2 linked regions of the Drosophila melanogaster genome follow. The protein of the gene in region 2 interacts with the protein of the main gene of each other region in a pairwise test. Each region holds a gene or a part of one and is shown on either strand. Other genes may lie near its edges.

Evidence for each region.
Region 1: the proteins of kra (region 2) and CG3880 interact in a two-hybrid assay, tested with the Drosophila melanogaster proteins (one large-scale study listed by BioGRID).

The regions. Positions count from the first base shown.
Region 1 is NT_033778.4:24,757,285-24,764,658, forward strand, and holds CG3880 (uncharacterized protein), read left to right. Parts: upstream 1-3,379; 5' UTR 3,380-3,562; intron 3,563-3,997; 5' UTR 3,998-4,003; coding exon 4,004-4,861; intron 4,862-4,917; coding exon 4,918-5,262; 3' UTR 5,263-5,321; downstream 5,322-7,374. Other genes in the region: spz6 (spatzle 6), read left to right, coding at 211-231, 1,214-1,512, 1,573-1,899, 2,300-2,930; CG12848 (uncharacterized protein), read right to left, coding at 5,326-5,688; CG3894 (uncharacterized protein), read left to right, coding at 5,971-6,381.
Region 2 is NT_033777.3:5,593,752-5,602,719, forward strand, and holds kra (krasavietz), read right to left. Parts: upstream 7,386-8,968; 5' UTR 7,264-7,385; intron 6,821-7,263; exon of another isoform or gene 6,287-6,820; intron 5,823-6,286; exon of another isoform or gene 5,614-5,822; 5' UTR 5,603-5,613; coding exon 5,365-5,602; intron 5,294-5,364; coding exon 5,193-5,293; intron 5,027-5,192; exon of another isoform or gene 4,887-5,026; intron 4,816-4,886; exon of another isoform or gene 4,672-4,815; intron 4,592-4,671; coding exon 4,453-4,591; intron 4,407-4,452; exon of another isoform or gene 4,264-4,406; intron 4,187-4,263; coding exon 4,021-4,186; intron 3,989-4,020; exon of another isoform or gene 3,845-3,988; intron 3,765-3,844; coding exon 3,521-3,764; intron 3,453-3,520; coding exon 3,110-3,452; intron 3,081-3,109; exon of another isoform or gene 2,946-3,080; intron 2,908-2,945; exon of another isoform or gene 2,775-2,907; intron 2,759-2,774; exon of another isoform or gene 2,609-2,758; intron 2,590-2,608; exon of another isoform or gene 2,450-2,589; intron 2,372-2,449; coding exon 2,334-2,371; 3' UTR 1,613-2,333; downstream 1-1,612. Other genes in the region: SecS (Sec synthetase), read left to right, coding at 7,805-7,918, 7,982-8,111, 8,163-8,968. UniProt on the Drosophila melanogaster protein: May be involved in memory formation.

The sequences.
Region 1 (7,374 bases), on a different chromosome or scaffold from region 2:
AAAGCTTTCTTTCTTTCCACTTTCTCATGCTCTGGCTAGTTTACCGGGCTTACAAGCAGCCAGAGGTTCAACGTCTGCAGCGACTTGGTCGACAACTCAGTTCAGTTGGTGCACTTGACGCGTCTGGTTCTGCTTCCCACCACTGCGGATTAAGCCAAGCCTGACGAAGGCCAAGTCCAAGAACCTTCTACAAGAAGCAAACGAGCGGAGATGGATTATCGTCTAGTGCTGGTATGTCATCATTACGGGTGTGCTAACTGCACACTTTTTCTATGGCTCGCTGGTCAAGTTCGTTGCCCAAGTCTTTTGTTTTGCAATGCGTTAACATTGGCGAGCTAACCGCTTACGTTTACTGTTACTCAGTCCCTGGGAACCGCCCGATTCTGGAGCATGCTAATGAATTAAGCTAACCAAAGAGCAGCGTACGTTCCGATCCGTTCTGCCCCTTCTTCTAGTTCGGTCTTCTAACTACTGGCTTTTGGCCGGGTGCCGAGCAACTTTCCCGTTAGGCGTGTGGCACGCATATTGGGAACAGAGCGCCAACAAGTTCTTTCCTGACCAGATCAAATCAGCCTGTCTTGGCCCCGAAAGGCGGTTAGGTCTTCATTCTGCAATTGAGCTACCAATATTTACCTATGCAAATTGTGCTCTTTCCATTTGGGAGCTCTCTCGCAGGGCAAACAAGTTTCTGCCTCATTAGAAGGGAAAAAACAAAAGAACGAGCTTAGCGGCTGACCCGATTTTGGATTCCCCGACGCCGCATTCAAATTACGCTGTGAACCGTGTCACAAAGAGAGAAATTCCACAGCTTCTTGGCACTGCAGCCGCCCACCGATCTGTACCACTTGACCTGGATTACTCGGGTCTGTCCGTGGAACTTTTGGTTTCATTGAGATGCCACTGCCCAGAACTTCAGGGAAAGTTCCCTCGAACAATTAATGGTCAAGTGAGCACAGCGGAGAGATGCTGAAGTGGCGTCTCGATCGCAGTTGCTGCCTCGGTTTGTTTATCTTCACAAAAACAGAAACAGAAACTTTCGCGCTTTCGCCAAACAACAAAACATCGAAAAGTGTATGTATGGCCGGGTAAAAGATCTCGATTCTTTTTCCGGACAATATTGGGCCATTCACCGACTCTTCTGGGCAATTAACTCGACTCCAGACGGCTACGGCCACTGATTGTACCTCCACTGTGACTATCTTTTGTTTTGTAGAAAATTCTCAGCTTTCTGCTGCTGGCCCAATTGGGTTTCTCCCAGCCGCAGCAGCAGTCGCCATCTGACTACGGTGAGGAGCAGCCTCCGGAGGGTTATTACGCCTTCGTCGAGTCCCCGAATGCGGTGCCTCCCAAGGTCAGGCCGCCACCTTACACCTTTGTAAATGCGGAGTGCAAGGACGTGGCCGCCGGCAAGAAGTCTGCCGTGTCCGTTCACAACATTTGCGGAGATCTAAACAAGGGTCAGATACCCAAGAATCCGCTGGGACAAAATGTACTCGGGGAGCCCTATCCCTTGTAGGTGAAAATATTTGCGTAACAAATTTCAGACATCTCTAATGTACACCTCCTCCACAGCGAACTTATTCGCAACCAAACGCTGAAGTTCCTTTCGAAAACTTTGCCCGTTCTAAAGGCCGACGATACCCTACCCAAGGTCACCCAGATCATTCGAGATGAACCCGTGGAACAGCTGGACAGCAACAACATCGACAGGCCCTATCCCGCAGGAGGTTCCACTCGCGTCCGCCGCAGCCTGCCGGAGGGCGTGGAGTCCAACGAGTACAGCTACTTCGATCCCGCCCTGGACGAGGAGGAGCAACACAAGCAAAGGGATCGGAATAACCAGCAGAGAAGGGCCGCCGAGGAGAGGAAGCCAAGGAAATTCTGCGATGGCGGTGGAGTGTAAGTTTTTAGCATGGAAACGGGGGAGTAGAGTTATTCCAATCTTAACTGCTACATAAATGAAAGATAAATATATCGTATTTCTTAAAGCACGGGAAAGGCGCGCATATAAAGCTAAAGAGGTCACCACTTAAAAATTATGAGTCATCTTTATAAAATTATAGATTCGAAGAATTATCAAGGCAAAGAACCCAAATGAGCTTGTCATTTCACTTTCCACATCATAATGTAAAGCCATACAACTAAAGAAGCTCAACACTTTAATCGACATCCATAGATATTGTAGAATAGGTTAAGAGAGGAGTACATCATGGGGTATTCAACTGCTTAGCATTTTGACGACACAACTGCGTGCAGGTCAATTAATAAAAGATTTTTAAACTTTTAACTCCACCCACAGATTTTGCACCTTATACAGGGCAATTCAGGGAGACACCGGAGGAGCAGCCCCTGCCACGCCCACTGCGGAAAGGCGCGAGGAGGTGGGTCCCATCCGGTACGAGGGTCCTCCCACTCCCTGTCCCGCCAAGGTAGAGTACGCTACTCCCGTCTTCGCTAAGAACTACCAAGGCGCCTGGCGTTATGTGGTCCAGATTCCCTATGAGGGCTACTTCACCCAGACGGTGGAGGTGACGCGTTGCATTCAGGCACGCTGTCACTACCTGGACGGCGGTTGCTTGTCGTCACCACGCTGGGTAAGCCTGTTGGTGGCGGAGATCTTCTACCCCAATGCGGAGGACACAGTGCCCACCAGCTCGACCACCACTCAGGCCCCTTCTGTGCAGGATTTCCAGGCCTACCAGCAGTACCTGCAGAAGAGGGCAGGCGTGGCTACCGCCTCCGACGGAACCTCGTCTGGAGCAGCCGGCCCCGCGGCGCAGGTGGACGCCCACTGCGATGGACACGATGAACTGGGCTGCTTCCAGGTGCGTCTCTACTACGACTGGTTCCTCATCCCCGGCTCTTGCAAGTGCTGGCGCCCGGACTACTTCGCCAAGTACGTGCGCCGGAAGTCGGTGGCCGAGTTGTGAACACTTCCTGGACAGGATTTTCGAAGGAAATCCTTAGAATAAGACTAAGTTCTAGCCTTTAGAGGAACACAACTTTGAGGTGAAAGGCTCATTCTAGTAATCCACCCGGGTGCCCCACAGCCCTATACGGATCACGCAGAGTTTGCAGTTCGTGCATCTACCAGATACAATCTTAACCTAGGCGGTTAGCTCCCTCTTTCGACTGATTAAGCCAAGAGCAGTGCATTTCTACTAATAAATACGTTTCTACCTAATCATAAGAGAGCCTCTCTATTCGGCACTTTGCTGAGACTGCGATGTGGTATTGGCCTAGCCTGTGTGTGTTAGCCTCCTGGAACTCTCTCAGCTGCGCTTGTGTTGGAAGATCCACCGAAAACCCACAGAAACCAGTCGCGCAAGTTGCGCATGCGTGCGAGACTCGGGCCCAAAACCTCGGCCGCTGATCTAGTGTGCAGTCAATATAACCAGTTGGTTGGCTTTGGGTGTTTTGGCCGGGGATCCAAGCGACCGAGCTGCATTACATACACAGAATAGTTGCAGAGTTTGCGCAGAAGCCTTGACGAACGGCCTCAAAAGGCTGCCAGACGAGCCGCGGACTCGGATTTCAGGAGCCAATTTTCCGCATAGCTTGGGTAAGTCAGCCAAATGGAGGGCCGTCTCTTTGTTTATAAACAAAATAAGCAACCAAAGTGGACTAAGGTACAGATGCAGCTGCGATAATAACATTGAGTAAACTTGGTACTTGAAGGCAAGAAACTAACAAAATCATTCATTTGCACGTCTCAGTTGAGCCCATTTAAATAAAATTGTAGAGTTTGAAATCAAGTAATTTTGTGTGGCGACTAGACGATTTTATAAAAATAAATTTGTTAAAACTGCTTGTAAATAAGTGGGAAATATCTTAGCTCAGAGATTCAGTCCTAAGGCAGCGTGCCAGATTCACACACATTCCATTTGGAGTTACCCATGCAAATGAGCTCCTATTAATATAAGTTATGCATTGGTGCCAAGCGTGGGACTATACGATTCATAATCTCATCCCACTTTCCATTTTGCGCCATCCGCAGACGAAGATGCTCCGCCAGAACAAGAATACCAGTACCAGTCTGCTGAACCTAAGCATAGGCGATGTGGGAGGCAGCCATCCACAGGGGCAGTCGCAATTTTGGGAACTGGATACGCTGCCTAAGCAGTTCGTCCTGTCCATGAAAAAGCTCTTCGACATCTTAGATGACAAGCAGACCGGATACGTGCGCTTCACGGACATCGAGAAGGGCTGGCAGGATGATGGCTCCAAGGGACTGCCACGCGGAGTTGTGGACTCACTCCGTCGGGTCACTCCCAGTAGCGGACTTCTCTCCTTCGAGCGGTTCTGCGCCGGCCTCAAGCTGTGCCTGCTCCGCAATCAGCAAAACGCTGTGGAAGACCTGAAGTTGCGGCCTCGTTCCCACGGAACTCTTGCTCCGGAGATGGAGTTCCATTCTCCTGCTCCGCCGCCAAAACCTCCACGACAGGTACCCAAGTCCCCTGCTCTGGGTAAAGACGACATTCGCCATGCCCTCCAAAACTGGCAACTGAACCTGATGGCGGACGCAGGAAAGTCAAAAACGACGCAGTCGCGGGAACAATTCGAACACCGTGGATCGGCTGACGGTGGCTCTTCCTCCACCTCTGCTTCGGCCACCGACTGGAGCCTGGCCCTTCCGGCTGTGCCCAAGAAGACCAGCAGCAAGCGCAGAGAGTCGCGGAGGCACACTCTGCAACACGGCATCGATTACAACATGCTAAAAAGACTGAAGCAATTGGAGGAGCAGCGGGAACTGCTTCTTTTCGGACTCGATGGCGTGGAGAAGGCACGCGATTGGTATATGATGCAGGTGCTCAATGTACAGGAGCAGATAAAGTATTTCGGCCGTTTAGGAACCCGATTTGTAAGTAGTCCTCTAGCTTGTAATTAATAGTTACCCCTTTCCTGATTTTCGCACAGGATCAGTGGTCTGAACTGCAGCAAGAAAGGCTAAACTTTCAACGCGCCCGCGTTTTTGAGGCCAATCGCAGCCTCCAGATTCTGGCCGACACCTGGGAGCACGGCGGCTACCCACTGCACATTAATTTGGCTGTGCCGACACCCACCGTCCCAAAACCGAGGCAGATGTCCGATCTGCTCAGTCGGGTTCGCGAGAAGCCGCCGCTTCTGTCAGACTTGTACGAGGCGCAGCACTCTCATTCCCATCCGCAGTTCCTGCGTGCCATGCCCAACTTCGTGCTCAGCCAGCCCTCGCCGGTCAGCCAATCCTCGGCCGGGCTGGGAGACGCCGACGTGGTCTACTGACGAATCAATGCTGCTGCGTACATTGTAAATAGTGTATTATTAAACAACTTGAACTATGTAAAGCTATACGGGATTGGGGTAGCGGCGCATGTACTTGTTAAGTTGCTTGTAGTTCAGGTTGCTGCCCGGTTGGACGATTCCCTGGTTCACGGTCTTCTTCGCCTCAAACTTACGGTCCATGTAGCACTTGTAGCAGTTCTGGAACTGGCTGATCTCCTTGTGGCAGTACTTCTCCACGAATTCGTTGTCTTTCAAGCAGGCGAACAGCACGCCCATCTCCTGGAGACAGGCCACATCGGATCCGGAGTCCGCCTTCCCGCTCACGGTGTTCTTCAGCCGCAGAGGCAGAATCTCCTGGAAGGGCACGTCCTTCTCGCTTTGAGGCGCTCGGCCGCGCGCGGCAAACAGGGCTCCGGGTACGCGCATCTGAAACCCCTTGGCTCTGTGAGTCCGGTCATTTCAGTCAAAAAATACGATTTTACCCACCTCGTAATTTCCACCGACTCCTGGACAACTGAACAGCTGCTTCAGATTACGTCACGAACTGGTTCCTGCTTTTGGTGGTGATTGCCAGTACGTCTGCAGCCCTGGTATTTCGTTTAACATAAGCATACGGTCACACTTAGAGTCTCCGTGGAACAAAAGGTAAATAATCAACCTGCGGGCACGCCAGGAGATTCTTCAAGGATCACCGAAGACCACGCGCACATGGAAGCCGCCGAGCAGCTCGACGAGGCGGCAGCACCAGCCGCCCTTTGCGCGCCTTCGCGTGCAGCCTACGCGGCCGCCGAGCAGGAAGATCCAGACCCAGACCAGGAGCAGGACCGAGGCCGGGAATCGCCCATTGGTTCGTTGGAGTGCGCCCCCACCCTGAGCAGTCGCAAGCGGCAGCTGAGTCGCTTTCATCCATACCACGGGTCCAATATCCAGTTGGGCGACGACGCCACAGTGGCCTACCGGAGAGCTAGTTTTGCCGACGCCCTGACATTCTCGGAGCGTCCGCTGGCCCCTGGGGACATCTTCTTGGTGGAGATCGAAAAGATAGAGCGCGGCTGGTCGGGCCATATGCGTCTTGGTCTCACCGAACTAGCGCCCAATGTGATTCGCACCAGCAGCGAGGGAAAAAAGGCGCCTCAGGAGAATCTGGTTTTTCTCGCGCAACCCAAGGGACAAGGCAGCACTCAACAGAGCCATCAAGGAACTCAAGGACAAGCTGTGTACCCTACGGCAAGACTCCTTCGACAGATTCCTTGAGGAGCTGGAACCTGGTGACCCGCAACATAATCTGTGGCAAGTCACGCGTCATATCAGGAGGCCTGCAAAGAAGGCGTCGCCGGTGCGAAAAGCGGACGGCTCTTGGTGCCGCTCTGAAGCCGAAAGAGCTGAAGCGTTTGCAGATCACCTCCAGAATGCATTCACACCATTTGACAGATGCACTGGCGAAGAGCGTGCTGCAACCACCAGGTTCCTAGAGAGTCCATGTCCTCCTAGCCTGCCCATAGAGCCCGTCACCCCAGAAGAGGTTGCGCAAGAGATCGCCTCCCTAAAGGCTAGCAAATCCCCAGGACTGGATCGCATCGACGCCACATCCCTTAAAATGCTGCCACCGCCCTGTTCCCAGTTGTTGGCCAACATATACAACAGATGCTTCTCACTAGGGTACTTCCCGAGATCATGGAAACGTGCAGAAGTCATTCTCACCCTCAAACCTGGAAAACCTGAAGCCAATCTTGCCTCATATAGACCGATTAGTCTGCTGACAATCCTCTCCAAAATACTCGAAAGAGTATTTCTGCGCAGAGTCATGCCAGTACTGGACGAGGCTGGACTGATCCCTGATCACCAGTTTGGCTTCAGGCGATCCCACGGAACACCAGAGCAATGTCACCGGCTCGTAGCACGCATCCTAGATGCATTCGAGAATAAACGATACTGTTCGGCCGTATTCCTGGATGTCAAGCAGGCGTTCGACAGAGTGTGGCATCCTGGACTCCTCTACAAACTCAAGTCCCACCTTCCCAGTTCCCACTATGCCCTACTCAAATCGTATACTGAAGGAAGAGAGTTCCAAGTGCGATGCGGTTCCTCAACAAGCACGACAAGGCCTATACG
Region 2 (8,968 bases):
TACATATGCACATATTTCTGAGCAGTAGGTCTAGATATGTGCTTATATTGTATACATACACTTTAAAATTTTGCATACATTCCTGTCCAAGAATTTTTATTTCAGTTTTCCCCTCGTTTATTGTACATTATTTTCTGTAGTCTTTGTTAACTTTTTATATGTCTATGTCGTTTATGTTCGTAATTATCAAGTGCAGCGTTCAGGAGGAACAACGGCAGTGGATCGCCCCTTTTACAGAGCCGCTGGCAGGTTGCGCATGCGACCACACAGCATTGTTGCTCAGCGAAGCACCGAAATGGACCTAAACCCCCGATTTCGCTTCTTCGAGGGCAACGGACGCTTGTGCAACTGCCACTGGCTCAACGAAAGCCCCGAAAATCATCAATGTCTGTTGTTGTTGAGATACCGAGAGTAGAGAATACACACTGCTTAGCACGCGACACTTAATACCCATTCATTACACATGCACCAACGACGATGAAGTTTTGCCAAGTAGCTAAGTTTGTTGACCTGACCATCAAGTGCAGCTTTCACACCCTCATATAACTACTTAAAGAAAATATAGAAAAATGGAAATTAGTTTTGCAATTTAGGGGACTGCCGAACTGCCACCGTTTCCACCTGACGCTGCGCCATCATATCAGGCTCTAAAAATCAACACACCATGTTCAAACACACGACTAGCATACAGGAGCAGGAGCTACAGTAAATTTGAACCTTGTATTCGCATGTTCGCCAATGTTCATAGTGTATTCTTCAAGCTCATTTTCTAACCAAGTTACCAAGTTCAATATGATGAATAACTACAAGATTAGCAAACAAATACAAGTAGCATATGCGTTATTATATAACATCGAGTACTATATACATTACATGAAATACAAAATGCAAGAAAAATTACTTTTAAACAAAATTTATGTTGAATAAAAAACAGTATTTCCAAAAACTAAACTTAACTGTATAACAACTTCCTTTTGCAATGTTCTAATGATCCTAAAAACAAGACATGGGGTAAACTATTTTAAGAAATTCAATCTAGGACTTCAAATAAGTCTTAATTAAGTACACCCATATTCTTGATCAGCAGAGTCAACTTGCTCATGTTTGTATGAAAACCTAGAACATAAAAAAGCCAGAAGGTCTGGACTAAACTCGCAGATTCCTGTAACTTGGAAGCACCACGAGTTTGCTTTAGAAGATGCCTTTCCGTTGAACTAAAACTAGACGAGTAAAGCGTATCTCAAACATTGTATCTTCCGAACCAAAATAGTGCTGCATACTTTTCGGGATATGTCTTATTCAATGTAAGTAATACAAAAAGAAAAAAGGTAACTTCTTAAAACTTGTAATATTTGTCACAAATGAATGACGACTAGATTTGGCCATGTCTGTAACAATAAACGTACAAAATATTCGAAGTTGCAGAAATGGGGATCCAGCATTCGGATTTGGTTTTTTGTCAAACTTTTAAATATAGAATCGGACCACATCTTTTTAAGACCTTAAAAAACTGATTTGAAGTTAGACCCCTCATAATGCCAACTAAATTTGTTAAACAAAAATATGCCCCTATATGCCAATCAAATTTAAATACAATGCTTTCTCAGCGTTTCAGTTAAATACTTTGGGTTGTTTAATGGTTTTATACGTATACATGTGCTAAGTCCATGTATCTTATATTTCGTAAATCCATAGATTTTGTTCGACGAAACTTTGCTAAATGATATTGATCTTTCAAATATAACTTGTTAATTTCCTTTCATCGCCGTGGCAAATCCTTCGAGAGTGAGTACTACTTGTTAAACGCATATATGAGGAAAATTTATTGATGAATAATGCGAACATGCAAACGGAACACATCCCCGAATTCACACAAAGCATCTCTGTGGTATCTCTTTTGGTTTTTTATTTGTTGCATCAACTCCGCGGAACTCCAGCTACCTCACTGCAGGTCGTAGTAGTCGACGTTATTGGCGGTCAGATGTTCTCTATTAATTTGGAGCGTGCTGCTGTTTCCACTTCAAACTTTTATTAACATATATAGTATGGGTTTGCCGGTATATTGCAAACGGGAACTAAGTGTAGATTCGTGAATGATATCAGACTGGACTGCAAACGTTTAGTTTCTAGCATGTTTTTTTTACTCTCTCCTTTATTTGTTGGAATTTTTGAGTTTTATATAGGTGGAGTTTTCAAAATGACATTAATTCATAGGGGTGAGTTTTATATATAGTTCGACTGGCTGTTGCAGGTGCTGGTTTCGAATTTTTGGATGGGGATGCTAAAGGGCGGCTCCGTTTGTGTTCATCCTCATTTAGCCATCAACCAAGTTCTTACTCGCCATTCTTTTGTTCGTCCTCAGATTCGGATTCTGAAAGAGAATAGAATACAAAATGTTAGTATGGGGGCTTCAATTGGTACAAACTGAAAAGATGTGCAGCTCCGGTTATGCTGTCCAAATGATTATTGGCCAAATTTAACTATGGAAAGTTATCTGGACACCCAACCATTCAAATGCTTTGGCACAACTCCCCGCTTGGCTCAATCGAATGAAGCAACCATTCGGAGCTTTTATGAGGGGATTGTGCATGCGGACTAGGACAAATGCAGCTGTCCAAACGATTATTGGCCAAATTAACCACGGCATTGGGTTATATGGGCACCCAATCATTCTTTCGCTTTTGCATACTGTACATGAACCCTTTAAAACTGGTTCCTAATAATGGGAACACTTTAAAAGCTTGGTAAGAAGCATGCTCGGTGAAGTCAGCTATTTGTGTCCAAGTTTTCATTGGCCTTTGATGCTCGGATTTTGTGAGGCAACAAGGCAAGCAAAAACTCAAATGCTCTTGCAATTTTGTACAATGAAAATGTCATCCAGGACAAGACCATTCTCAAAAAGTGCACTGTGTAAAGTTTCGAAGGAAGCAAAATTTGAATATTTATATTGTCCAGGTTTTCATTGGCCTACGTTGTTCAGTGAATGGAAATCAACGAGGCAAGCAAAAAACCCAAATTTCTCTTGCAATTACGTACCAGAATCAAGCTATTTAAGACAAGACCATTCTCAAAAATTGCACGCTGATAACATTTATCAAAACATACTAACCTTCTTCGGCTGACTGAAGCCATTCGACAAACTTTCGCATTTGTTCAAGGAAATGCATTTTGCCCTTGTTTGAGTGGCCCTCCTTGTACCAGCGCAAGATGATCTCCTCGGACAGGACCTCGGTCTTGTAGAACAACAAAATGATTTTCTGGAAGGCCTTCATGAAGTTCATGTTCTCGTAGCAGAATTCCTGCACCTTCAAGATTAGGGCCAATTCCGAACGGTCGGTCGAGGCGAAAGCCTGCAACAGTGGGCAGTAGTTCTTCAGATGACGAACAGCCTGATCGGTAACCAGCTCCTCCTTCTTGTTCCATTCGCCCAATGACATGATGGTGGACCAAATCTGGTAAAGATCATACATGAGATTTAGTAAGGAAATCATCCAGTTGGATTATTTACGCATCGACTTACAATAACAATTATTTCATGATCGGGAATGTTGGTGCGCTGCGAGAAGTCCTTAATGTCTGAGGTTATCTCATTATATGGCTTCTCATCGTTGATATCATCGATGAGCGCCTGCTGCAACTCACGCTTCGCCTCCTGGCTAGCCTGAGCCTTATGTAGCTTGACGATCTCGTTAAGTTCTTTGTCAAGAAAAACTTGTTTAAAATATTCCTCAGTACGTTTGTTCGGTGGGAAAAAGTCCATAAGTCTGGAAAAACGTGAAAAAGTGGAACCATTATTAATAATTTAAGTTAACGCATTCAATAATCAACCTTAAATGACGTATTGAGGTGTACGAAATTAAATCAGCACCCAAATGAAGCGAAAGGTCATTTGCGAATTGGGTAAAACTCCGTCGAACTTTCTTACTCTAGGAATATCAATTAAAGATGCACAACTGGATCATTGAGTCATCTTCCTGAGAACATTCCGGGGCTAAAAACAAATCACAACTAAAAACTTACTTGCTTTCCAGTCCACCCTTCTTAAGCGCCTGAATCAGATATGCAATGCCCTTCTCTTGCTTGAACGTCTGGAACAGCTCTAGTAGAAACTCCAATGCAATGCCATCCTTGATTAGGTGCTCGTTGTTTAGTACCAGTAAAACATTTGGCGGTACAGAACCGTTGACTGTTGATCAAAAATAGGGTTAAATATAGGGTTAGTCAAATGTTTTCGCAAAACAAGTTTAGACGGCCGGCTAGCAATCCTGTCCTTGGGCTCGTGGCCCTTAGATGTGGTTAGTTCATCCAAGAGTCAGTATACCAAGTGAAGGATTACTTTAGCCCCTCAGCTGCAAGTTGAACAAGTGTTTATCGAAACAACTAATTGAAAGACCGAATGGGCAGACGCAAGCAATGCACAGGAGGAACAGGAACATAAATGTTAAGACTTACCTAACCAGAGCGCTGTCATACGCGCAAGCTTGATGCGTTCACTAGGAGTAAAGCCCTTTACGAATAATAGAACCTTTCCCATCTCCTCTTCGAACATTTTCTCAAGGTACTTGTACCGTCTGATGAGCTTGACAAATACCTGGAAAAGGTAAAGTGTGATTGCCCCTGTTAGCGGATGGTGAAATTTTACTGTGTTCTCACGCAGGAGGCTTTTGTATTTGTTGTTGCAACATTAGAAATCTTTAGATTGCTGGCGGTAGTAATTTTACAAAATAAAGACAAGTAAAATGTGGCTTTTTATTTTGCATATTTTGACACCGATTGAGTTGTTGAGATGCATAACCGGTTCTAATAATATGCACTTTGATTCAATAGCGTGACCTTCGCAGTGGTTGCATGCATATAGTATATATATATAGTGTTGAATAAAGAGTAGTTGTTGACACATAAGAAATCTTCAGAACGTTAGTGTTTAGGACAAACCAAAGACAAGTAAATGTGTTGATTGTTATTGCATATTCTTGACACCGATTACATTTTTGAAACTTTATAGTCAGCTCTAATGATATGCAGCCACTTCACGAATTTCATACTTTTAAGTGGATCCGAAGAAAATCATTTAGTAGTAAATAAACGTTTTAGCTTGGAAAACAACAAGAGCTCAACTTGTGTTGCAATCAAACCAATTTTCGTTTACTCATAATCATAATTTAAGTATGACCTGCTAAAAGATTACAAACCTGCTCATGGTTGCGCATGCTCTCCATGCTCTCGGGCGCATCGAAGATGCAGTAGCTTGTGCGCGGCTTTTCGCCATCCTGAGATATAGAACCACCAGGCACTGCAATTGAAACGAGGATGGAAAAGGGTCAGTGAAGAGACTAAACACATTACTTGCAGCGGAAAACTTACCTAGTAGACCTCCTGCAATCAATATGTCAAAGAGAACTTCACCGTAGCGACGATAGTCGAGCTTGTTGCCCGCGCTGTCTAGATATTTAGAGATTTGTTCCAGGTCGCCTTCAGTTTTTTCGAGACCAGCAATGACCGCATCACGGAATCCCGTTGGGTCATATTTTTCTCTTTCATCTCTTTTTCTGGTCTTGATGCGTTGACCCGATAGCACTGGTCTTTCAGTTTTTTGACTCATACAATAAATTGCTGCAAAGGTAAATGTGGATCAGAGATGGAAGCGGTTTTGGTTTGCCCCTGTAAGTTTTTATTTCTGACCAGACTAAATTATCATGGCCACTAGATTCATTTTTAGATTTATCTTAATTTTAGTGTAAGATGACTAAGGTGGTCTCCAAGCGGTGGAAAACCGTTCCCTGTATATGTATTCTCGTTGCGCTCATAATCAAACTACAACATTTTCACCTATGACCGGCGTTTAAGTGGAAACTCTAGTGAAAACTGAGCCTAAGAAAGCCTTAACCTAAAAATGCCAGCGTACATGTGCTTTAAACACACACATTCAAGAGCGGAGAACGGGCACACTTCACATCTCTTTTTAATTATCTCTCTTTTTCACACACACATACCCACTGTGCATTTTACAGTTTGATAATGTCGACAAAAGAAATAAAAAGAATTGAGAGGTGAGGCGACCAAGAAATCGACATAGAAACGCAGAATAAAGTGAAATTTTGACGTGGTTACTTGTGTTAGGTAGCGCGCTGGGGAAATGAGGTCATTGTGCATGTAGTGCACATAAAAACGCGCCGATGACTGTGTGCTAGTTGGCCGGGAAAATTGTCATAGCAGCGAAAACGCAAAAATTAAATTATCTAGGCTATCAAGTACACATTGGTACATATAAGGAACGGCAACTTACGCTTTCACCCAAGGATATTAAGTCTGGCCCTGTGTTTGCCGCTTCCGCGTGTCCTTGCAATCAATTGAAATCAGTCGTGTGCGAGTGTAGTGTGTATGTGTGTGTGTGTGTGCCTGTTGCTTTTTCACAACTAACGAACGTGCGAGAATATGTAATTTAATTTAACCTCACGAAGCGCTGGCTGGTTAATGCTTCTCACTCGAGTCGACGAAAAACAAAGAGACAGATGGCAGATCCCTTCTTTTCTTACCTCTCTTTTCTTATGAGCGAGCTTTTGCACGGTAAAATTGACACGCACGCACACACACAACAACAAAGAAAAGGGGAGAGCAAATAGAAAATATAATTTTTTGTAACGGAATTTACTTTTATGCCTTCAAAATAAACGTTAACAATTTTGCTCAGACTACGTCCGGAATTCTATTTTTAACAGCTATCACAATCGGTTACTAGGTATATGTGTTGTTTGCCTCGAATCCAGCGCCCCTCTGCTCGCACCACTTTGTTAAACGAAATTCGGAGAGCGAATGAGACGACACACGAGCGCACGAACGAAGCGGACGAGCCGAGAACGAAGACATGTGGTTCGGCGCCATTTTGAAGCGATACACTGACATGGCGAAAGCGGAATGATGGGCACAGGGAAAACGAAAATTAGGGGGAAACGGTGAGAAAAAATGTGGGATGGGGGTTCAAAGTGTGTATATTGCTGTCGCGCTTATTAAATAATGAGCAAGGTACAGTCGAACAAAGGCCGACGGCCACCAAATGATTTTTTGCATGAATATATGACTGCCCGATGACTAATCTGGCCTTAGGTACGCACGCAGTTCGTACATAACCCCTTTTCCAACGAAAGCGCAGACAAAGGATTGGTCAAGGCCAGAGAAATGACCAGGACCGCGATTTTACTCGCCCTATTTGTCTTTCTGTGTACTTAGGTCTACTCTAGCGCTATTTTTCACTCCTATACTTACGATTAAAACAAAAAAATCTGTTTTGCTGCGAATAAAAGTAACTTTTTGCGTAGCTGTTGGGCTGCTTCTTCTGGATGACTTGCGGTATGACCGTGGCCTGCTTCGTACGCAATGGTACAGAGCTCACTAAGGTGTCCAAAAGGTGGCAACATTTTGGTGAAGCTGTTGGCTGGCCCCACTAACCGGACCTGAAAATGGTGCAGCGCTGCCGGACATTTAACGGAATCAAAGATTCCACAAAAGTCATGTTTGCATTAACAAAATTCATATTTAACCTTAACAAATTCAACAAATTAAGTTAAGTCCATTTTAGTAGCGTTGCGAGGAGTTTATTTTCGAAAATACGCCTTTGTATATATTATATATTTTTCCTCCACTTTAAACAAAATCGAAAGGTGTCCATTTGTCAGCTATTTAAACAATATGGCATCGCCGCCTTACTTGCTCAGTAAGAAAATTTAACTGTTTTTTTTTTGCGCACCTGAAAGCGGCGATAGACATTGTTTACTTTTAGTTTATATTTACATTATCCAAAAGCCAAATGAACTTTGAGCAGGTCAATATACCAGAGAAACTAGTGCCGGACAACTATTTGCAACTGGGACTGGCTGCGCAACGCAGTAAGCAGCGCAGTTTTAAGGAGCTGCTCGAAAAGGTAATCAAACCGAAATTAAACCCAAATTAATTGATAACTCCATGGATAATTCTTCTTTTCAAGCGAAAGCTTCCGAAAAATGGTTGGTCCGATGAACGTATCGAGGAGCTGGTGCACATGCTGGCTTCCTTGGACAGCAATAACTATCCACATAAGGTCGGTTTAGGAGAGCGGGAGGCGCGTATAGCCTGCAGTAAGTAAGGGATCAGGAGGCGATATCCCCCGTAATGAATTTGTCATTCAGAACTCGTGGCTCGCCGTCACTACAACTTCGGTCATGGTATCGGCAGATCTGGAGACTTACTAGAGGCACAACCCAAGGCAGCTGGCTCTACGCTGCTCGCTCGTCTCACAAACGCCCTGATTCTGGACCTTATTCGGGGAATCGGACTGCCCAGCTGTGCTGGCTGCTTTTTGGTGCCAATGTGTACAGGCATGACATTGACTTTGTGCCTGCAGAGTCTTCGCAAGCGGCGACCCGGGGCGCGGTATGTGCTCTGGTCCCGCATCGATCAGAAGTCCTGCTTCAAGGCCATCACAGCAACGGGCTTGGTGCCGGTAGTCATCCCCTGCCTTATTAAAGGAGAGTCCCTGAACACGAACGTAGATTTATTCCGAGAAAAGATAAAGTCATTGGGAGTGGATAGCATCCTCTGCCTGTACACTACCACCAGTTGTTTTGCTCCACGAAACAGCGATGACATTGCCGAAGTATCCAAGTTGTCCAAACAATGGCAGATTCCCCATCTGGTCAATAATGCCTATGGATTGCAGGCAAAGGAAATCGTTAATCAGTTGGAGTGCGCCAATCGAGTCGGACGCATTGATTACTTCGTTCAGAGCAGCGACAAGAATTTGCTGGTGCCAGTGGGTAGTGCCATTGTGGCCAGCTTCAATGAGAGTGTGCTCCACGATGTGGCCAGTACTTATGCTGGGAGAGCTAGTGGTTCCCAGTCACTAGATGTCTTGATGACGCTACTCTCACTTGGGCGCAATGGCTTTCGATTGCTTTTCGATCAGCGGGGCGAGAACTTCAATTACCTGAGAGAG